Linked DNA regions of Macaca mulatta. The protein of the gene in region 1 purifies or fractionates together with the protein of each later gene. This does not show direct contact. Links are inferred from orthologs where the notes say so. Each region holds a gene or a part of one and is shown on either strand. Other genes may lie near its edges.

Region 1 (7,870 bases):
TATAAAAATTGAGGTAGAGAAGCTTAAAAATCAATGGAAGCAATCACAGTCATTGTAAAAACACCAGAGACAATTTTAAGGAAATATGATACCAAGGAAACTTTCTTTTTTTTTTTTTTTTTTTTTTTTTTCTGTGAGTAAGGAAGAAAGTCTTGAGTAAGGTATCCTCCAAAAAGAGACATATATGAATAATAAATCTATGAATAATTGTAACTTAAATTGTAAAGGAAGAAGTAAAAAAAAGTTACAAAATGAGGTAACTTTTTTACATACTAAATTGTGTACACACACACAAAAGATATAAGTATGGATTTGGAAGTGGTGAACTAAAAATTCTCTCTTACTGCTGGAAATGTAAACTCAGTATGAATTTTACTGAGGTTAACACTTCAGTGCATCCTAATAACATACAACAATGTTAATATAATTTCCAGGAAGTCTATGTCTTACAGAAATAATCAGAATACACTCAAAGATGTAAATGGAACTGGAGATAGATAGGACATTGATGGATGGATGGATAGATAGATAGGTAGGTAGTTAGAGATAAACATAATTTACATGAGTGGAAAACTAGAAATCAATTTGTAGAACTAATAATGGAAATTGTTAAACTAGAGAAGCCATTACAATTTTTGTTTTTGAAAAAACAAAAAATTGACAAGGGCAAATGCTCCCAATAAAATAACCTAGCTCAAAGTGTAGTTACATGCTAGGTATTGTCTAAATAATCAGTCATAGGGGAACAATTTAAAACAGTGAAATAAAAGTAAAGTAAAAATAAACAAGTTGGCCGGGCGCGGTGGCTCAAGCCTGTAATCCCGGCACTTTGGGAGGCCGAGACGGGTGGATCACGAGGTCAGGAGATCGAGACCATCCTGGCTAACACGGTGAAACCCCATCTCTACTAAAAAATACAAAAAATTAGCCGGGCATGGTGGCGGGCACCTGTAGTCCCAGCTACTCGGGAGGCTGAGGCAGGAGAATGGTGTAAACCCAGGAGGCAGAGCTTGCAGTGAGCTGAGATGCGGCCACTGCACTCCGGCCTGGGCGACAGAGCGAGACTCCGTCTCAAAAAAAAAAAAAACAAAACAAAAACAAACAAACAAAAAAAACCAACAAGTTAAGTACCACCAAATAGGCATAGGATACTATGAAACTACAAAAGTTAGATGTTTGACAAATTTTGGTTGATATAGGTCAAATTATGTGAGAAAGAATAACTGGGTATGTGTGCATATATGATCATATATTTAATATTTAGCTATACATAGAACAAATTGATAATTTATATAAAATGTAGTTCTTTTTTTTTCATTTTTTTAATGAACCTTTATTATTTTATAAAGAGAAAGTTACATTTAAGTAAATATTGAACAGGGGAAGCCTAAAGTTGTCATCCAATGTAAGAAATTTCATGTGTCATACAGAATAAGTATAAATAAATTTTATAAATTCTCCACAAAATTATCCTTGAATCCCACCATAATACTACATAACAGAATAACATTTTTTGAAAATATGAAACATTAAGTACATATTCAGTAAGTTTTTCTATTGCATATATCAATATTATTAGCTATAGTTTTGCGTAGAGTTTACTTTCCTGAAAGCTCAGTATAATTAACTTCAACTCCATTAACTGTATCACAACTGCTGTTAGTTATATATATATACTTAATTCAGTAAAATTAGATGCACCAAAACTCTTTGGCTCTGTAAGATATAGTTTTGAGATATATTTGACATTGTTTAGAAAAATGCATAGGGAGTGTTAAATAAAGTATCACTAAGTAATATGCAGGTTACTCTTAGGATAATATGTAAAATTTAAATTACCACTAGATGTTTATAACTGATATAAGATCATGTACTTTGTTTACATGTTTGAATCATAGATTTCATTTTAAGTATAGTTAATTTAATGAAAACTCATCAATTATTCATCAATTAGTATAAATGTATTTAAAAAATTGTTTTTGAGGTTTTACAAAGTTCTCTGCAAGAGCAACAAAGTGGCCTAAACTATCTCAGCACCACTGTGAAAGAGATGTCAAAGAAAGCCCCCTCTGAAATCAGCCGAAAATATCAATTAGAATTTGAAGAAATTGAGACACGCTGGAAGAAGCTCTCCTCCCAGCTAGCCGAGCATTGTCAAAAGCTAGAGGAGCAAATGAATAAACTCCGAAAAATTCAGGTAATTCAAGATTTTACTTTCTACACTCATTTTTATGTACTTGTTATTTTCCTAACAATACACTGTAAACTGTAAAGGTACGCAAACATTTGACCTCCAGCATCTTTCAAAGTTAGTGATAAGATGAAAAGACATGAGTCTTTTACAAAGGATGGTGATTTGCTTATTCCTTCTAAGAAAAGAATAAGAGTTTTCTCAGTTTTTTGTAGAATTAATTTGCTATTTTCACCATTACCAATAGGAATTAAACATGTTTTTAGTTTAATGATTTTCAAAACCAATCATTCATTTAGTCTGGTTGTCTTTTAAGATGCAGGTAATCATTTATCTTATGACTAGGAAACAGTTATGTATATATACATTAGTATATGTATAATGTATAGTATGTGTATTATTATTTCCTATATTACGTTTTGTTTCTGCTGTTTTGCTATTATAAAAAGTATGAGTAAACTATGCTGTCTACATGTGCTATTATGTATATAAAATACAGTGATATAATCATAAAATTGTATTATATATTAATCCCATTATGTATAACTCCATATATGTATATGTGTAGGAGAAATGTAGGTGTATTAATGTCCTGTGACACTCCTAAGAAATTACCACAAATTTAATGGCTTCAAACAACATAATTTATTATATTACAGTTCTGGAGGTCGGAAGTTCAGAATTAGTCTCTGTGGGCTAAAATTAAGGTGTTAGCAGAACTGTGTCTGTTTTGGAGGCTTTAAAAGAGAATGTGTTTTATTGGCATTTTTAGCTTCCATATGTATGTATATATACACACATATAATGTGTACATATGTGTATATATGTGCATATAATTGAATTATATATCATGTACATATATACATATCTAAAGTAATCATATATCACATATGTAACATGTTATGTATATTAATGTTACATATGTAAGATATAGTAATTATTTTATCACCATGTTGAATTTGTAATTATATGCTTAAATTTTACCCCATCACCTTCTTCCTGAAACCAAATGCTCTTGACTTAATTTGTTTGAATAGTGCCATCATAGTAATAACCACTCAAACTAAAGAAAAACAGTAAACCGACAATTGCATTAAGATCTAAAAGCCTGAATTATTCAGTGAGGTAAGTAATGTGTCCCTTGAGTGGTCAATTATTGTGAAAAATGTTAATACTGGGAAGGAAATGTCAAAAACATTATGGTATGATGGAAAAACATTGCAACAAGATGCTCCTGGATTTAAATCCCAGCCTAGCTACTTAGTTTTTGTGCTTACCTTTTACAAACCGAAGCACTAAGCAAACCTAAAACATTCTTAAATGCATAGCATGTCTTTACTTATAAACATATGTGTACATGCATACCTATGTAAATACTGCATGAAAATATCTATTATTTACCACGACCAGTGGCCTAAGAGGACACAATTACATGCCTCTTGTCATCAGTGAGTCCACATTCTAGCGAAGGAGGAATGTAGATATATTCGTTTCCTATGGCATCCTAACAAACTGCCAGAAATTTAATAGCTTCAAACAACACAAATTTATTACAGTTCTGGAAGTCAGAAGCTCAGAATTAGTCTCAGTGGGCTAAAATTAAGGTGTCAGCAGGACTGTGTGTGTTTTGGAGGCTTTGAGAGAGTCTGTTTTTTGGCATTTTTAGCTTCTAGAAGCATTCCTTGGCTCATATCCCCATCCTCCATCTTCAGTGTCAGCAGTGTAACATCGTCCAGTGTCAGTTTCTCTCTCCCTCTCTATCTCCATCTCCCTCTCATTCTACCTCTCCTCCTCCTCTTCCTCTCCCTGTCCTGTTCCTTGTGTTGACTTCCTTTTAATTAGGACCTTTGTGATTACATTATGCCCAGGTGGATGATCCAGTATAATCTCCCCATCTCAAAATCCTTAAAGTAATCACATCTGCAAAGTCCTTTCTGTCATGTTGGGTAATGTACTCACAGGTTTCAGAGATTAGGGTGTAGACATCTTGGGGGTAACATTATTCAGCCTTCCATGGTAAATAAAGCAATATGGGAAAGGTTGTCACAGTAGGCAGGAAGGAAATCTAACATAAACTAGAAAAAAAGATTGTGAAATATTATTGGAACATAGATTATCTCTGCTATAGATTGAATAGGTAGAATTTAGTTAGATAATACCGAGAAAGGAAGAGTTCTTGAGAAAGCATCGCAGCATTTTCAGTTAACTGGAATAAGTTCAACATTGGGGAGACAATATATATGGGGATTAATAAAATATTATGGTTGGAAAACTGGTTTGGGAGTAGACAGTGAATGGCCTTGGATGCCACGTTTTACGATCTGAGTTTTAATCTAATGGTAATGAGAGTGATAACAATAACAATAAGAAAAAACTGCTATTGGTTAAAGAGGGAAATAATATGATTCCACTTGTGTTTTCAAAACACTCCCATGGCAAGAGGAAGGAGGAGAAGAGAAGATTCCTGGCTTCACTGTAGATCAATAATTAGAATGAGGTAAGACCGAAGCAGATATCAAAATGAGCCAGTGCATTAATGGAGTCAGTAATAAGACCTGAACAGACCAGGCATAGTGGCTCACACCTGTAATCCCAACACTGTGAGAGGCCGAGGTGGGTAGATCACGAGGTCCAGAGATCAAGACCATCCTGGCCAACATGGTGAAACCTCGTCTCTACTAAAAATACAAAAATTAGCTGGGCATGGTGGTGCACACCTGTAGTCCCAGCTACTTGGGAGGCTGAGGCAGGAGTAATCACTTGAATCTGGGAGGTGGAGGCTACAGTGAGCCAAGATTGTGCCACTTCACTCCAGCCTGGGTGACGGAGCAAGACTCCGTCTCAAAAAAAAAAAAAAAAAAGACCTGAGCAAGGACAGTGAAGATGTGGAAAAAGAGCAAATGTAGACTTGAAAGACAACAGCAAGGTGATCATGTTGAAGTTCTCTGACTTAGATAAGTGCTTTAAAAATTATTATTAATCATCATATTAAAGGGGAAACTTTCTGTGGAGCATGTATTTTCAATATACATTTAAGTAAATTGGAAGAAAACTCATGTAGACAGTAGAGTTCAATCATACTTTTTAAAAGTAGCGAAACAGCAGAAAGAAAGGTAATATGGCAAAGAATCATGGATGAGAGATATTGGCTATTTATAAATGATAAAAGATGATGATTTTTACCTGATCATTACTTCATACTGGTCAGACAAATAAAAACAAAAGCTCTCTCTTCTAAGATGACAAAATCTTAGTCCGAAAGTTCACAACTGGAGGGACTATTTAAACTGTCATCTGTAGAAAACAATTTGTGAAGTTCGAGTTTAGGGAGGCTATGAAGACACCATTACATTGAGTTTATTGTTCATAGTTTGTTTTATGTACTGTAAGGGCATATTGTTAGTATTCTCATGAGTTGTTTTGTAACTTAAAATTTCTCTAGAGGGGGATATGATTTAATGTTCTTGAGAGTAACATCATAAAACCGCATTTGGTAGTAATTTTTTATTTTTAACAATAGCAGACTTCACACACCAGTGCTCATACAGTAGACCATAAAAACGCAGTCTTAGTAAAAATATTCTTTTCCTCAAGAGCTACTTAGAGACATCCTTTAAACATGGGAATCGTTTTTGGGCTTGTGTTTAGACATAACACAATGATGAATTGTATTAGAAGTAATCAGCACACCAGTAATGCCTTATAATGGGTCTCGTTTCAGAATCACATACAAACCCTGAAGAAATGGATGGCTGAAGTTGATGTTTTTCTGAAGGAGGAATGGCCTGCCCTTGGGGATTCAGAGATTCTAAAAAAGCAGCTGAAACAGTGCAGAGTACGATTTTTATATGATGTCTTTAATATGAATAATTTTGTATGAATATTACTTGGTTAGATCAGTGTTTTACAGCTGGGGTGGATTTTGCCCTCCCCTCACCAGCAGATGTTTTTTTTAATGCTTGTAGACATTTTTGATTGTCATAACTGGGTTGGGGGTGGTGGTTAGATGCTACTGGTGTCTAGTAGGTAGAGGACAGAGATGCTGCTAAGTATCTTTCAGTCCATTGAACAGCCCTCCACAACAAGGAACTGCACAATCTAAAATGTCACTAGTGCCAATGTTGAGAAACCCTGGGTTGAGTAAGTGAGGAATTGAGAAAGCATTGCCTTGTACTCAACGTCAGTTGATAACATTATTTTGCTATAAAATGCAGTATAATTTAAAGGTAAAGAATCCTTTGAGCTACTTGTTATTTCTTACAACAAATTATTATTCATACTGTGTTGTTCTCTTCATGTATAATGCACTGTACTATAACACAATATGTAGTTTTGAAATAATATTCAGTATACCACTGTCATGCAGCAGGAAGAAAATAATCTTGCTCTTTAAAGAATTTTTTTTTACAATACAAGCTAAAAAAGCAAATCCACCTTCACACCCATTACACTGTAAACAATTATCTGCAATATCCTGTGTTTGAAAATGAAAATACTAACCAAGATAGTAAAGTATGAAGCCCATTTTCACACATTTTTCTAACCAGAAATATTAGATTTATTTCCTTTTGTTTCTGATATAAGTAAAATACAAATAATTCCCCACTGGATTCATGCCATAATAACCATTGAACATTTTTGCAAGACTGTTATGCAGTTGTCTATATCAATATATTTGTATCTCAGATTTTAAAAGACAAAAATCCATATGCGATGCCATCAGTCCTAATTTTACATTTTCTAGCTATGTTGCATATTTAATATGTGGCAGTAATTTTTTCAGCTGGCTTAAATTGATTCATTTTCTTAGCTTTTAGTCAATGATATTCAGACAATTCAGCCCAGTCTAAACAGTGTCAATGAAGGTGGGCAGAAGATAAAGAATGAAGCAGAGCCAGAGTTTGCTTTGAGACTTGAGATAGAACTGAAAGAACTTAACACTCAGTGGGATCACATGTGCCAACAGGTATGGACAATGTCTTTCACTGTGGCTAGTCTCAATGTAGTTAAGATTTCCTAATGTCTCCCTTCACCATTACTTTTGTTTAAGGCTTTGTTCCTACGCTGTTGCTTTAAAGCACAATTAATTCTGACAAATTAATCTTTTTTCTAGCATATATAAATATTTTCATAGTATGTATTTTAAATAGTACACATTCATCTTATTGTGGTCCTAAAATGACTTTCTTGAAACAGCTGTCATACTGAAAAATGAAATCCTATTCGTAGTCATTATTTCCAATCCACGTTTTCTTCAGAACATAAATGTATAATAATAGATTAAGAAAAATACATTTCACAGGGATATTTGGTACAAAATAAAATGAATGGGTAATATATGTGTATGTAGAAATAGGGTAAATAATTTTTACTTTTGATTAACATTTCCAAGTTTGGCCTCTTCAATACATTTATTATTTATTTATTTTATTTTTTGGGACAGGGTCTCCCTCTGTGCCTCTGTCACCCAAGCTAGAGTGCAGTGGTGTGAACTCGGCTCACTGCAGCCTCAACCTCCTGGGCTCAAGCAATTATCTCATCTCAGCCCCCACAAGTAGCTGGAACTACAGGCGTGTGCCACGATGCCTGGCTAGTTTTTGTTATTTTTTTGGTAGCAACAGGGTCTTGCTATGTTTCCCAGGCTGCTTTTGAATTACTAGTCTGAAACAATGCTCTTTC
Region 2 (7,870 bases), on another chromosome or scaffold:
TAATAACCACAATTGTCTTTATTTTTTGTTTTTTTGTTTTTTTGTTTGTTTGTTTTGTTTGCTTTGGGGACAGTCTCGCTCTGTCTCCCAGGCTGGAGTGCAGTAGCCCGATCTCAGCTCACTACAACCTCTGCCTCCCGGATTCAAGCGATTCTCCTGCCTCAGCCTCCTGAGTAGCTGGGACTACAGGCGCCCACCACCACGCCCGGCTAATTTTTGTATTTTTAGTAGAGATGGGGTTTCACCATATTGGCCAGGTTGGTCTCGAACTCCTGACCTTGCCGCCTGCCTCGGCCTCCCAAAGTGCTGGGATTACAGGCATGAGCCACCGCGCCCAGCCCATCATTGTCAATTAAAAATAAAGTTTTAAAGATATAGAAGAAAAACAAGTTAAGCTCTCATTGATGCTCTTGAGAATGCTAGTTTGTATTCTGCTCTGCAACTTTACTGAAGAGTGAGAACTTAGGGAGAGAATGGAAACTCTCACCTTAGATTTATTACTCATATTTTTGAAATATGCCTAAGAGGCATGAGATTTTTTTCCTCTGTGTGAGGACAGTTGTCACCAAAAGAATTCCCTGTTCCATCACATAAAATTTTTGGTATCTCACTGGGGAGACTGGCTTTGCAAATTCCTTAAAAAGAATACTAATTATGGCTAAAGTTCTCCTAGTGACATCCCACTTTCCAAACCTTCCCTCTTCTACAACTTATGCTTGTGGTAAAACGGTTTAGTCACTGTAAAAGGTTGGTTTCAAATGTTAATGAAGCCAAGTTGCACTGGGTCTTCTAACTCTCAAGCCATCTGCAAAATTGTTATTTTGAAACTCAGGAGCTAGGTGGAACATTATTGGGCATGGTTGTTGATGATGAATACTACACTTCACATCACTGCAGAAGTCAGTGAATGCCCCCCATAGGACATTGTCCAATCTCAAGGAAAGGTATTGTGGTATAGTATTTAAATTCACAGGCTTTTGAGCCTATTTAACATGGGTTTTCATCATTCTCAGCAAACTATTGCAAGAACAGAAAACCAAACACCGCATGTTCTCACTCATAGGTGGGAACTGAACAATGAGATCACTTGGACTTGGGAAGGGGAACATCACACACCAGGGCCTATCATGGGGAGGGGGGAGGGGGGAGGGATTGCATTGGTAGTTATACCTGATGTAAATGACGAGTTGATGGGTGCTGATGAGTTGATGGGTGCAGCACACCAACATGGCACATGTATACATATGTAACAAACCTGCACATTGTGCACATGTACCCTAGAACTTAAAGTATAATAATTAAAAAATAAATAAATAAAAATTAAAAAAAACATGGGTTTGAATCCCAGCACCACCAACAGTGTGGCCTTGGGTAAATTGCTTCTTCCTCTCTCTCTCTCTCCAAAGTTCAATTTTTTCTTCCGTTAAGGGGGGGTTAATAATATCAGTCATAGGGCTATTAGAAGCATTATATATAATAATATAAAATGATTTAAAAGTTTGCCTGGCACATAGTAAATTCTCAGTGAATAATAGCATGATTATTAAGGGATGAAAGGAAGTTAATAAATGGATAATTCTATTCAGCTTTGAATTTCCAAATCCCTGTATCATTCTAATGTAAACATGAATGAATAAATGATATTTATTGCATATACACATGAATGAATATTGGGGTTTTTTTTTCTCTATGCAATTAAAAAGTATCTAAAATTTACAGATACGGAGAACAGGTTAGTTGTTGCCTAGGGACAACAACTAGGTGGGGGTGGGGGACACACGACTAAAAAGGGGTAGTTGCGGGGGAGATTAAAGATCTCTGCTTTGTGGTGATGGAGTAGTTCTGCCTTGTAATTGCAGTGGGGTTTACACAAATCTACACATGAAAAAATGGCATAGAACTACACCTTCACATTGTACCCATGTCAGTTTCCTAGTTTTGATAGTGTACTACAGGAGGTAAAATATAACCACTGGGGGAAACTGGTAAAGGGCATCCCAGACTTCTTTGTTCTATTTGTGCAACTCCATGCTAATCTATAATTACTTCAAAATAAAAAGTTAATGACATAAAGTATCTGTTGAGAATTTCCTTCTTTTACCACAATTACAGTATACAGATTTCTCTGTTTCTTCAGTAATCCAATTAGAGTTCTGGCATAAGCTTTGTCGTTGAACTTTTATTTTTATTTTAGTTTATTTTAGTTTATTTTATTTGAGACTGAGTCTCACTCTGTAGCCCAGGCTAGAGTGCAATGGCTTGATCTCAGCTCACTGCAACCTCTGCCTGCCGGGTTCAAATAATTCTCCCACCTCAGCCTCCTGAGTAGCTGGGATTACAGGCACCTGCCATAATGCCTGGCTAATTTTTGTATTTTTGTAGAGACAGGGTTTCACCATCTTGGCCAGGCTGGTCTTGAACTTCTGACCTCAGGTGATCTGCCCACCTCAGCCTCCCGAAGTGCTGGGATTACAGGCGTGAGCCAGCATGCTGGGCCTGGACTTTAAATACATAATATTTTAAGTGCTCTCTCCCCGTTGTTACCCCTTCCTAAGCCAATTCACACCTTCACACCATGGGTCTGAGGATTAAGTGGACGCTAAATGTGCTACAGACAAAATTCCTAAAAGATGCAAAGTTTGGTCATCTTCGATTCTAAAATATTCTCAATTGATTAACACTGAGCAGCAGGATTAAGCATGTGGCTAGATATATTTCAATCTGTTTCCTGCCAGCACCAGCAAGGATGTGAGTATATTATTAAAATCCTCTGTGAATTAAGAAGTAAGGCAAATTAGTATCAGCTCACAGTTTGGAAGTCTCGATATGATACTACTAATCAGCAAATCAGCTGAATAACAAGAAAATCAGATAACCTTAATTTAGGTGATTTGGTGGTTGCACAGCTGTGTTCCCAGTATGTAGACCAGTACTTGGGCACCCAGTAAATATGCGTGGATGAATTAATGAGTGAATGAATGGATAGCGGGACCATTAAGGCATCCCATGGGAAACTGACAAAGTCTAAAAATAGGAGTAAAGAATTAATTCACCTTTGTGGCCCAGGTCTTGACGAAGCAGGACCTGCCAGGAAACTTTCTAACCCTTTTCTCTATGTTCCTCTAGGCAGCTTGAAATCCACTCTCCAGATGCTAAGCACACAGTGATCCTAAGGAGCAAGGACTCAGCCACTGCCCAGGCATGGTTCAGTGCCATCCATTCCAACGTTAATGACCTGCTGACCCGAGTGATTGCTGAGGTCAGAGAGCAGCTGGGGAAAACAGGCATTGCTGGGAGCCGAGAGATTAGGCATCTTGGCTGGCTTGCAGAAAAGGTAAGAAAAATACCTTCCTCTATAATAGTCATCCTTCCCGAGATTCCCCCAGCGCTCATAACCACTAAAGTTATCTCATTCCATAGGCTGATTCTCTCATTCACAGTCTGTGTGGATTTCTTATCCCTCTCCAGCAGGCTACAGGCCTTTACATTATACAGGGGTTTTGTCTTAATTGAATTTGATTACCTGCATTTAGTTAAACATGTGGCAGATTGCACGGGGTCCAGGTTGTTGGATGATGGATGAACGAGTGAGTTGAGGAATAGTTTGATTTTAACTTCTATGTATGAAGGGAAGGGAAAATAACTCAACCTCAGAACAGAGCTGTTGCTTTGGGAGGCAAGGAAGTCCAAATTATTGCTTCAAAAGGGTTTGTGTGGGTTTTGATGAGCCTGTTTGTTAATAACACAGACACTTTTGAGATGATTCAATTATACATTTACAAGTAACAGCAAGGATTACTTGAGCAATTACTATAAGCTGGCTCTTTTCTTATGTTACCTTATATTTTATTTGTGCTGTTAAGCCAGCCGCTCTTTAATGCCATCATTAAAGAGCACCTATTTTTGTGAGGCACAGTGCGAGGCAGGAGTCGGGGAGGGAGTGAACACATAAAAAGACTTAGCCTCTGTCTCAGAGAGGACAGCTGCTGTGGAAAAGACTTTGGGTCATATTAACACGGTCCCTGATTTCTTTTCCCAAGTTATGGGATATGTTAAAGATAGTAAAACTCACTTTGTGGCCATCTCTTGGGAGTTACTCTTTCTCTCTATTTCAAAGGATTGAGTCTTTGCCATTGTCCTTACATATGATTGCTGTCCCTTGAAGTTGACCTTGAGTGCTCAGGAACGCTGGACTTTGGGGATGATCTGACCTCCCAGTGACTCACTTTCTAATAGACAGTAAATGGGAATAGTGAATGTCACAATAACACGTTTCCTGCCAAAGAACTCTGTCATCTGAGAAGGCCCGGTCATATGGCACCTGGAATAATACCTGAACACACCAGTTGGCTGTTTTCCGTCATTGTGCTTTGTTTGCAGCAGATCATGCCTGGGTCTTAGCCTAACAATTTAACACCAGATGGGTTGTTTGACTTGGTATTGTCCTATCTCTCAGAGATTTCAAAGAACCAAAGGGACAATGCAGGTGATAGGAGCATCCAAATTCATAATAAACACAAACCACCCGTAGCCTTTCATGAGTTTATGTGTTAGGGTTCCTGAAGAAAACAAGACCATAAATCTGGATGGCTGATACGATTTTGAAAGTCACATCTCTATCACTCTCCACTTTCTACTCTCTTCAAATGCATGTGTTTTTATTAGGAAAGGGCCTGATAGTCAAGGATCTTCCCATTACAAGTGGCAGAAAACTCAACTCAATTTAGCCTGAGCAAAATGGGCATGCCTGGGTTCTGATAACTGCAATGTCCAAAGATAAGCTTCAGGCATGGTGGGATCCAGGGACTTAAATAATGTATTAAGTCTAAGTCTCCATCTCTTTCTTTCCCTGTCCTTTCATTAGTTTATTACCAGGCTTCCTCTTTAGTTGGCCTGACGGTTCCAGGCTTATGTTTTCTTTGCTCCTGGTTGTCTCAGTGAAGAATGGCTTCTTTGCCCCAATTGTTCCAACACAAGTCCTGAGATTATAAGTCTAATTGGGTTGACTTGGATAATTTGTTCAGTCTTAGTGCTGAAATCAGCCTCACCTAAGTCATTTGCAGTGAGGATGAGGAGGGGTGGTTCTCTAATGGAAAAAATCAGGTGCTGTGCAAGAAAAACAAGCAATGGATACCAGGGAAGCAAAAGCAACCAACATTTACTGTAGAACAAGAGAAGGAGCTGATTGTGATGAAAAATGCTCTCACTTGGTTAAGGTTCTGGGTGGACTTGGAGATACAGCACATATTTTAGGATCCTGGCAGCAGATGGATGGGAAGGTTGAAAGGGATAATTGGAAAGGATTTAATGCAGGAATAATTTATAAGGTGTAGCCAAGGTTTGGAAAACCAATAAGAGAGAGAGAAGAACTCCAGGGCCAACAGTAGTAAGAGGCCACTACCATCCCTTGACCAGAAAGGGCAAGGAGAAGCAGCAGTTACCTGAGACTAGGGAGGCTTCTAGCTGTAGAAAAGTGCCACCTACTACCACTGTGGTATTTGGAAGAGAAATGCAGCCCCTGCCAACCCCTGCCCACTGACCCCCTGCTGGTGTCTTCCAAAGGCTGAAGCTGGCTGGAAGCCAGAGGCAAGAAGCCCCATGGATGCACTCTTAAGGTGAGTCTCCCAGGGTACAGAGAAGGATGGGAAAGGTAGAGACTGGATCTGAAGGGGCAGAGGGAGGCTGGCCAACACATACAATCTTGCATCTTCCAAGTTGATGGTCTTAATTCTTAGAGGTACTTTTCTCTCATCTCTTTAAATACAAGCTATGTTTAAAATCATTACCATTATTCATGAAATTAAAAAATCTTCCAAAGGTTACTCTTTCTCACCTATAATTTGTCTCATGCCTTTTGCTTATCCCAAATTATTAGCAGACATATTATTAGACATTCTCATGGAACAGTAATAAATGTGCATATAAAGCTCTTCCTGTTTTTAGCATATGATTGTTCTTATGATGTAATTTCAGATCATCATTCCAGAGGTCTCCTTAAGGGTATTATGCAGAGTATCTGTAAGAGCAGTAATGATCATGGATAATTATAAGAAGCAAGAATGTCTTTTATTGTCTTCATTTTCACGCTTCTCAGAAGATTACCATAGATCAAGTTTAAGGGAACAAATCCAAACTGGATTTTTTTGAATAAATATTTAATACTGAATCCTGGTGTGCAGATATATGAATGGTTTTTAGCAAAATGTTACAATGAATGGCAAATCCTTAATACGATGCCTTTCTTATATTATCATAAATACCATGAATTCGCTTGGTATTTGTAAAGACATAAAATGTGATCCTATATCTATCTAGCTGTAATTTATCTTAAATTGACATTCTTTGTCTTTTCCTATGTTGTTATATTTTGATTTTGTAAATTTATCACAGTCACTCTGTGACAAGGTTGTACAGATTATATTTAATTTAGTTTCAAGTTTTTAGAAGTGGCATTTATGTGAACTCAAAAAATATGAAACAACAACTTCCTTTTTAAATTTCCGTTTAGTGCAAATCTTAAAATCTCCTCAACACTATACAGGAGGAAAATTTAGTATTAACATTATTTTTCTTCATGAGATAGTCAGGAGACTTGAAGAATGGCTTCTGAGAAATGACAGGGATTTGAGTGAATGGAGACATTTCCCTGCACTCCAAGAGAGGAGAAAGAAGGAAGGCCTGTGTTAGTATGGCTTGTTGGGGGACTGGGGGGAAAGACCAGAGACTGATCTAAAGTGAAGCGAGAGTTCATCCTGGAGAAAAGTGATAAGAGGACCTGACACCTTGACTAGAACTTGATTATGGAAGATTTTTTTTTTTTAATAGACAGTGTCTCACTATGATGCCCAGGCTGGAAATCCTGGACTCAAGCAATCCTTCTGCCTCAGCCTCCCAAGTAACTGGGACTACAGGTGTGTGCCACTGCACCTGGCTACCAATTATGGAAAATCTGCTTTCGTCTGTGAGCACTGTCACCTGTAGATGGGTCATGTACATCAATGTAAAGCCCTTCCCATGTCCATATTGGCCTCAAATCTTTCTTTCTTTTTTTTCTTTGAGATGGAGTCTCACTCTGTCTCCCAGGCTGGAGTGCAGTGGCGTGATGTTGGCTCACTGCAATCTCTGCCTCTGAGTTCAAGCGATTCTCCTACCTCAGCATCCTGAGTAGCTGCAATTACAGGCACATGCCACCACACCCAGCTAATTTTTGTAGTTTTAGTAGAGATGGGGTTTCGCTCTGTTGGCCAGGCTGGTCTCAAACTCCTGACCTCAGGTGATCTGGCCACCTCGGCCAGATCCTGGGATTACAGGTGTGAGCCAACGCGCCCAGCCAGCCTCAAATCTTTTAACTCCTTGCAAGCCCCCATGTGGCCCAAGATGAGCCACTAACTCCTGTGAATTGTAAAATGCGTCATGCCCCAAACACATTTTTCCCAATCTTTGTTTCTTAGTTCATCTAATCCTTTTACAATTATCGTTACATTTCAGATAAGAGAAAAACAAGCTAAGTTCTGACTCTCCTGCTACTTAGAAAAACAGTAATAAACAGGGACACAGCAGAATTGTTGAGTTATATTTTGTGCTCAGTTCATCAGGCATTCCCTTTGCTTTCCCTTGTTATCTCGGTTTGCAAACTATTTCTTGTCAGATTAAATATGCAAAAACACAACACAGCAAAACAAAAGCCCAGATGGGAGCTCTGAGATGCAAGTTCAGGTATCAGCTTTATTAATTTCCATTTCGTATTCTTTCAAATGGGAGCGTTTAAATAGTTGTGCCTCCCCATGGCGTTACTGGAGAAAAGGAAGTTGGTAATTCATACTTATTATGGGCAATATGCTTCAAATAATCCAAATCCAATGAGGTAAAC
Region 3 (7,870 bases), on another chromosome or scaffold:
CCTGAGTCAGCTGCTCGAGGGATATACTGACTGCACTCCTGCTGATTTTTCTAGGGTAAAAAAAATCTCCTTGGTGACCTGAGGCAGCTAGCTTTTACTCTACCCAGAAGCACATGTATTATAACTATGCACAAACAGCACAGAGATATACTACATCTAAATGCTAGCATTGGAATTGTTATATTTTCTATTATTATACTTAATTTCAGTAAATCTTTGTGTGTGTGTGTGTTTTTTGAGATGGAGTCTCACTCTGTCGCCCAGGCCTGGAGTGCAGTGGCGCGTTCTCGGCTCACTGCAAGCTCTGCCTCCCGGGTTCACGCCATTCTCCTGCCTCAGCCTCTGGAGTAGCTGGGACTGCAGGTGTCCACTACTACACCTGGCTAATTTTTTGTATTTTTTGTTTTTTTTTAGTAGAAACAGGGTTTCACCATGTTGGCCAGGATGGTCTCGATATCCTGACCTTGTGATCCGCCCGCCTCGGCCTCCCAAAGTGCTGGGATTACAGGCTGAGCCACCGCGCCCAGCCTAGTAAATATTTTTAAATAATGTTTAAGAAAATAACTTTAACTCTTCTACTGATTACCATTAACATTTTTTAACTCTTCTCTAACTTTCTAATTTAGGGAAGGAAAAAGAAAGGTAGCTACTGTATTTATTGAATGTTTAGTATGTGCCTGAAATTTTTATTTGCTTAGTGTTACTCTCATTTTGTAGATGAGGACCTCAGAACAGTTAAGGGTGGTCACATAGCTTTGAGTAGAAGCACAGTTAGGTTTTGAACCAGGTCTTCTTGATTCCAAAGGCATCTCTATGACCACATCATGCTGTAGAATTAGCTATCAACTATTAGGCCAATAAAAGACTATCATCAACCTTATTAAATAAAGAAAACCAAGGCACAGCACAGTAAGCATAATATACTACCATATGTATGATCAGATATACATGCACATGTATGTGTTTACTTTCATACATGCTTGGCATACCAGGCATCTCTTTGAATGGTTGCCTCCAGGAATGGAGACAGGGTAGCTAGAAATCTGGAGTTTTATTATAAAACCTTTTATACCTCTTGAGTTTTATTTTATGTGCATATTTTACTTATTCACAGGAGAAACTCTGTGTACCACTGTGCCCAGCCAGTTTGTCTAGTTTTTGAAACAAGAACACCATGCCTCAAGTGATAGTAATTGTAGTCATGACTGAAGTAAAAGAAGAGTTTCATGAGTTTTAAAATTGAACTTAAAAAAGCTTTCTATTTACTAAAAGCTTGATTTTCATTTGGGGCTACATTAATGGAAACAGAGTATTTTGAACAAGCAAGCGGGATCAGTTGAGTTGGCTTTGTGCTTATTAGATCATACCTTATCTTGAATATGCTTTATTTTTGCACTTTTAAGAACTGTAATGATTTTAAGAACTGTAATGACCTGTTTACATAGCTGTCTCCCCTGCAAGGCTGGGCATTCCTTGAGGGATAGAATCCATGGCTCATTTGCCCTCGTGTCCTTACTAGCTAGCCTAATTCCCAACACTTGATAGGTAGCTAATAAAAGTTGATTGAATTGAATGGAAATAGAAATACTTGGCTTAATATGGGGAGGAGAGAGAAGAGAAAAATCTGTCTTCAGATAATTATAGAGTTCTCATGTAAAAGAGAGATTAAGTTTGTTTTATATGACTTGAGAAGACAGGGAACCAATGGGTAGAAGTATGGAGAAGTTTCTAAAGGTTGAGTCATCTAAAGCCTAGATGGGTCTGACTTTGAATCTATCTCCAGCGGATTCATGGCTCTTTAACTTACTTTTTTTCCCCCACTTTTTCTTTGTTTGTTTGTTTGTTTTTGAGGCAGAGTCTTGCTCTGTCGCCCAGACTGGAGTACAATGGCACAATCTCGGCTCACTGCAACCACTGCCTCCTGGGTTCAGGCGATTCTTCTGCCTCAGCTTCCTGAGTAGTTGGGACTACAGGCGTGTGCCACCACGCCCACCTAATTTTTTGTATTTTTGGTAGAGATGGGGTTTCACCATGTTGACCAGGCTGGCCTCGAACTCCTGACCTCAAGTGATCCACCTGTCTTGGCCTCCCAAAGTGCTGGGATTACAGGTGTGAGCTACCGCGCCCAGCCATTTCCCCCACTTTGTTATAGATATAGCATGTATGTGAATACTTTAGTTATCATTTATTATAGGAAGCAAAATTACTAACCACCTTCTTTGATTTTTTTGTTCATAGTCAAGTTCATCCGAGAAGTAACACCATATATCAAGAAGCCATCATTAGTATCAGATCTGCCGTGGGAAGGTGCAGCCCCCCAGTCACCAAGCTTTAGTGGCAGTGAGGACTCTGGTTCGCCAAAACACCAGAACAGCACCAAAGACAGGAAGATCATCCCTCTCAAAATGTGCTTTGCTGCTAGAAACCTAAGCATGCCGGATCTGGAAAACAGGTGAGGTGTACCTAACAAGATCATCATACCTACAGCTTTACAAACTTAAGGACATGTTGCAGTATTATATGACTCTGTTAACTTAATTATACAGAGGAAAACATCAGTCTAAGGTGAGAGATGCATTTTTGGGGTTCCACATTTTAAGTTATTCTACATATATACATGTATATGTGTAGAAAAAATTTTGGACAGGCACACAAGAAACAGTTAATGGCTTTACCCCTAAGGTGTCAAATAAGATTAAGGGAGAGAAAGAAAGAGGGGGCATCTTCTCTTCCTTTTATATCTTTCCATAATGTTGTTATTACTTTTTTCACTATGAATATGTATTACTTTATAATTGAAAGAATTCTTGTTAAAGAGAAATTTTTAAGTATCTCCTTAGATGGAAATTCCTTAGACTGTAGGTAGTATAGAGTTAGAGATCTGCATTATGGTTTTGGCTGAATCAACCAGCAGTGTGACTCTGGCAAGTTAGCTCCCCTTGACCTCAGTTTCCTCATTTGCAAAATGAGAAAATTAGATTGGATGATTTCTGATGTCCCTCCTAGTTCTATAATCATATGTGTTCTGTAACTTTGTCTTCATTAACTCCATGAAGTGGCACTGGTAGACCGAATGTTAAGTTAGAGATTAGGGGAAAAAATAAGATGAAAATAACTTGCCCAAAGACATAGTTAAGGACAGACTTTTTATAATGTGTTTTCACTATTATGGTCTCCTCTGATCTTAATGCACAGCCAGGTGCCTGATCAGGATGGAATGGAGCACAGAAGACACCAAGAAACTGAATTGCCTCCTTGGGTTTTTAAGGCCTCCTTGGGTATTTAAGGCTTCAAAGCTTCTGCTCTGTAGTATTTTACAAGGTTTGCTGGAATGAACTGAGCTCTGCAGTCGGATAGATCTTGGTGTGAATCCCAACTAGGTCACCTGCTCAAAGTAAGGTTCTGAGCAAGTCCCTTCACTTCTATACAACACCATATCATCATCTGTAAAAAAAGGGATAATGATACTTAGTGTGCTGATTATATGAGATGGTACCTGTAAAGGCCCTTACACAGAGCCAAGCACATACAGTAGGTTCTCAAGAAATAGTATTTTTAAAAAGTCTTAACTCTGCTGAGCACAATGGCTCACACCTGTAATCCCAGCACTTTGGGAGGCCAGGGTTAGAGAATTGCTTAAAGCTAGAATTTAAGACCAGTTTGGGCAACATAGTGAATCGCTGCCTTTACGGCATTTAAAAAAAAAATTAGCCAGACTTACTGGCGTGCACCTGTAGTCCTAGCTACTTGGGAGGCTAGGGTGGGAGGATCACTTGAACCCAAGAGTTCAAGGCTGCAGTGAGCTAGGATTTTGCCACTGCACTGTAGCCTGGGTGACAGAACAATATCCTGTCTCTTAAGAAAAGTCTTTTTTTTATTTTTATTTTTTTTTGAGACGGAGTCTCGCTGTGTCGCCCAGGATGGAGTGCAGTGGCGCGATCTCAGCTCACTGCAAGCTCCGCCTCCTGGGTTTACGCCATTCTCCTGCCTCAGCCTCCTGGGACTACAGGCGCCCGCCACCTCGCCCGGCTAGTTTTTTGTATTTTTTAGTAGAGACGGGGTTTCACCGTGTTAGCCAGGATGGTCTCGATCTTCTGACCTCGTGATCCGCCCGCCTCAGCCTCCCAAAGTGCTGGGATTACAGGCTTGAGCCACCGCGCCCGGCCAAGAAAAGTCTTAACTGACTACTATGTAAACACGTTTTGAAAATTATATTCTGATATATTTAAATTTTTGGCTTTGTTTTAAAAGTTCAAGACATTGTAGAAATTACTTTGTGCTACGTATAGGTTTATTCCTGGAAGGTTGTATGTATGTTGAATCATCTAAGTGCAACACAGCTTGATCTTTAAAGAAATTTTGTATTCTTTTCATAAAGTAATAATTTAATTTGGGCTGGGATAGGTGGCTCACGCCTGGAATCCCAGCACTTTGGGAGGCTGAGGCAGGTGGATCACTTGAGGTCAGGAGTTTAAGACCAGCCTGGCAAACATGGTGAAACCCTGTCTCCACTAAAAATACAAAACTTAGCCAGGTGTGGTGGCAGGCACCTGTAATCCCAGCTACTTGGAAGGCTGAGGCAGAAGAATTGCTTGAACCTGGGAGGCAGAAGTTGCAGTGAGCCGAGATTGCACCACTGCACTCCAGCCTGGGTGGCAGAGCAAGACTCTGTCTCAAGAACAAATAAATAAATAAATAAATAAAATAAATGAGATACATTTGAGCCAGACATGGTGGCGGCTCACACTTATCTCAGTACTTTGGGAGGCTGAGGCAGGAGAATTGCTTGAGGCCAGGAGTTTAAGACTAGCTTGGGCAATATAACAAGACCCTATCTCTACCAAAAAAAAAAAGAGAGAGAGAGAGAAAAGAGATACATTTATATAGAGCAGTTGGTCTGTTAATTATGGGCTTTTTTTTTTTTTAAGTTAGGGACCATAGAGAATTAAATAGAATAGAGAAACAATGTGATAAAGAAAAACAAATTACAACTACATTTGTCAACTAGCTGTCAGGCTGAGAAAAGTACAGAGTCAATTTTGTTATAAATCATTTCTTTTTTTTTTTTTTTTTTGAGACAGGCTTCACTCCCATCGCCCAGGCTAGAGTACAATGGCATGGTCTCAGCTCACTGCAACCTCTGCTTCCTGGGCTCAAGTAATTCCCCTGCCTCAGCCTCCCAAGTAGCTGGGACTACAGGTACATGCCACTATGCCCAGCTAATATTTGTATTTTTTGTAGAGAAAGGGTTTTGCTACATTGCCCAGAGTGGTCCCCAACTCCTAGATTCCAGCAATCCACTCACTTTGGTTTTCCAAAGTGCTGGGATTACAGGCATGAGCCACCACGCCCGGCAATAAATTATTTCTGAGAATAGGTACCTATAGTGCTGCTGATGTAGCTGGGTATTGAAGAAAAAGGCAAAATGTTATAAAATTTCTATAGAAACCCAGGGTTGTGGGAGTGGGCAAAGAAAGAAGGAAGAAGATGATATGACTTGGCTGTATTGCTAAATGTTGTGCTACTTCATCATTCACTAAGGATTGAAGTCCAGTAACCTTGGTCTTTGTTAAAACTTGGGGGCTGAATTCTCTGACATATTTATACGCTAAAGACATTTGGTGATGGTCACATGTGAAGTAGGTCTTCAGAACCAAATGGAGAGGGCAGTTTGGGGCTACCAGAGTTGTGCTATTATACCTTCCTTTTCAATAAATGATCAGTCTACTTGACCATGGCATACTATATAAGGAAAGGTCTTAGAAGATCCACGCTAGTTTTGAGATTCTCAGTCTTAATGCTTCAAAGCAACTTGTTCTAATTTTACTTAAGATATCAAAATTTGGCCGGGTGCAGTGGCTCCCACCTGTAATCCCAGCACTTTGAGAGGCCAAGGCAGGTGGATCACTTGACATCAGGAGTTTGAGACCGGCCTGGCCAACACAGTGAAACACCGTTTCTACTAAAAATACAAAAATTAGCCAGGTGTGGTGGTGCACGCCTGTAATCCCAGCTATTTGGGAGGCTGAGATAGGAGAATTGCTTGAACTCGGGAGGCAGAGGTTGCAGTGAGCCAAGATTATGGCACTGTGCAAGACTGTGTCTCAAAAAAAATTTTTTAAAAATAAAAAAATTTGCACATTATTTGCTTTTTGTAAAATATAAATTGGAAGAGATTCAAAGTTATTCCTATGATGATACCACTTATACTTGCATTTCCATGTGCTTTTTAGACATAAGAGCATTAGGATTACAAGGAGTTTGCAAAAAATATGCATAATTTCGGCTATACTTATGGGAATATGAACATCTGTGTGTCTTGGCAGAAAAAATGTACAGAACCATTAACTAATTAGACCTCAGTTATGAGAGAAGATAGAAGTTAGGAAGATAGGCTTCGTAATGTTGGTCAGGCTACTTGTTTTCCACAAGCCTTGCATTTCCCCTGTATAAAATAAGATTATAGGAGGATTAAATAAGACAGTAATTATAGAATCAGTAAGTTCTCAAGTTATTATTATAGGCATTGTTAGTGTCCTTGTGACCTTAAATAAGTTCCTTAATTTCTCTGGCCGCCTGTTTTCTCTGTCTGTAGAATGGTCGTAATATCTGCTCAACTATATACTTTAGAATGAGAATAAATAATAATCTATAAAATAACTTGGGGCAGGGGGCTCGTGACTGTAATCTCAGCACTTTGGGAGACCAAGGCAGGCAGATCACTTGAGGCCAGGAGTTTGTGACCCTGTCTCTACTAAAAATAACAAAAAATTGCCCAGGCATGGTGGCACACACCTGTAATCCCAGCTACTCAAGATGCTGAGGCATAAGAATCACTTGAACCTGGGAGGCGGAGGTTGCAGTGAGCCGAGATTGTGCCACTGCACTCCAGCCTGGACACTCCAGGTGACAGAGTAAGATTCTGTCTCAAAAAGAAATAAAAATAAAAATAAAATAATAAAATAACTTGGAGCTCATTGGTCCTTAAATTTATCTCAGCTCTGTTAAAGGAAATATCCATTTGTTCATCTGTTTTTTATTGATGGTCACTTGAGCAATTTCCAGTATAGAGTTAGTATTAATAAAGTCACTGAATATTTTTGTACTTTCCTTTTTTTTCTTCTTCTTCTTCTTCTGGTTTAAAGGCCTCAGAAACTTTTTCATTTCTGTGGGGTAAATTTGTAGGAGTGGAATTGCTGGGTCAAAGGATAGGTGCATATTTAGCTTAAAAAAAAAAAAAAAAACAACTAGTCCAGGCGTGGTGGCTCATGCCTGTAATCCCAGCACTTTGGGAGGCTGAGGCAGGCAGATCACCTGAGGTCAGGAGTTCGAGACCAGCCTGACCAACATGGAGAAACCCCATCTCTACTAAAAATACAAAATTAGCTGGACATGGTGGCTCATGCCTGTAATCCCAGCTACTCGGGAGGCTGAGGGAGGAGAACCGCTTGAACCCGGTAGGCGGAGGTTACCGTGAGCTGAGATCGCACCATTACTTACACTCCAGCCTGGGCAACAAGAGTGAAACTCCGTCTCAAAAACAACAATAACAACAGCAACAAACTGCCAGGCTGGGCACAGTGGCTCATGCCTGTAATCCCAGTACTTTGGGAGGTCGAGAGTGGTAGATCACCTGAGGTCAGGCGTTTGAGACCAGCCTGGCCAACATGGCGAAACCCCATGTCTACTAAAAATAAAAAAAATAAAATAAGCTAAACTGCCAGACTTCCTTCCAAAGTAATTGTGCTATTTTGTGCCATTTTATGTTCCTGCCATTATATGAGAGTTTTCATTGTTTCACATCCTCACCAAAATTGATGTTATCAGTCTTTTTAATATTTACCTTTCTGGTGGGTACATAGTGGAATCT

Evidence for each region. Proteins that work in one complex are often made in the same cells at the same time.
Region 2: the proteins of DMD (region 1) and SNTB1 purify together in Homo sapiens (co-immunoprecipitation; 4 studies listed by BioGRID and IntAct, counting the BioPlex papers as one, with this or other methods). This does not show direct contact. The link is inferred for Macaca mulatta from reciprocal best matches to the Homo sapiens genes DMD and SNTB1.
Region 3: the proteins of DMD (region 1) and SNTB2 purify together in Homo sapiens (co-immunoprecipitation; 4 studies listed by BioGRID and IntAct, counting the BioPlex papers as one, with this or other methods). This does not show direct contact. The link is inferred for Macaca mulatta from reciprocal best matches to the Homo sapiens genes DMD and SNTB2.

Annotation. Positions count from the first base shown.
Region 1 is NC_133426.1:32,396,640-32,404,509, reverse strand, and holds part of DMD (dystrophin), read left to right. Parts: intron 1-1,984; coding exon 1,985-2,197; intron 2,198-5,912; coding exon 5,913-6,026; intron 6,027-7,001; coding exon 7,002-7,157; intron 7,158-7,870. UniProt on the Homo sapiens protein: Anchors the extracellular matrix to the cytoskeleton via F-actin. Ligand for dystroglycan.
Region 2 is NC_133413.1:131,023,048-131,030,917, reverse strand, and holds part of SNTB1 (beta-1-syntrophin), read left to right. Parts: exon of another isoform or gene 1-1,167; intron 1,168-3,126; coding exon 3,127-3,334; intron 3,335-7,870. UniProt on the Homo sapiens protein: Adapter protein that binds to and probably organizes the subcellular localization of a variety of membrane proteins. May link various receptors to the actin cytoskeleton and the dystrophin glycoprotein complex.
Region 3 is NC_133425.1:64,862,581-64,870,450, forward strand, and holds part of SNTB2 (beta-2-syntrophin), read left to right. Parts: intron 1-2,238; coding exon 2,239-2,452; intron 2,453-7,870. UniProt on the Homo sapiens protein: Adapter protein that binds to and probably organizes the subcellular localization of a variety of membrane proteins. May link various receptors to the actin cytoskeleton and the dystrophin glycoprotein complex.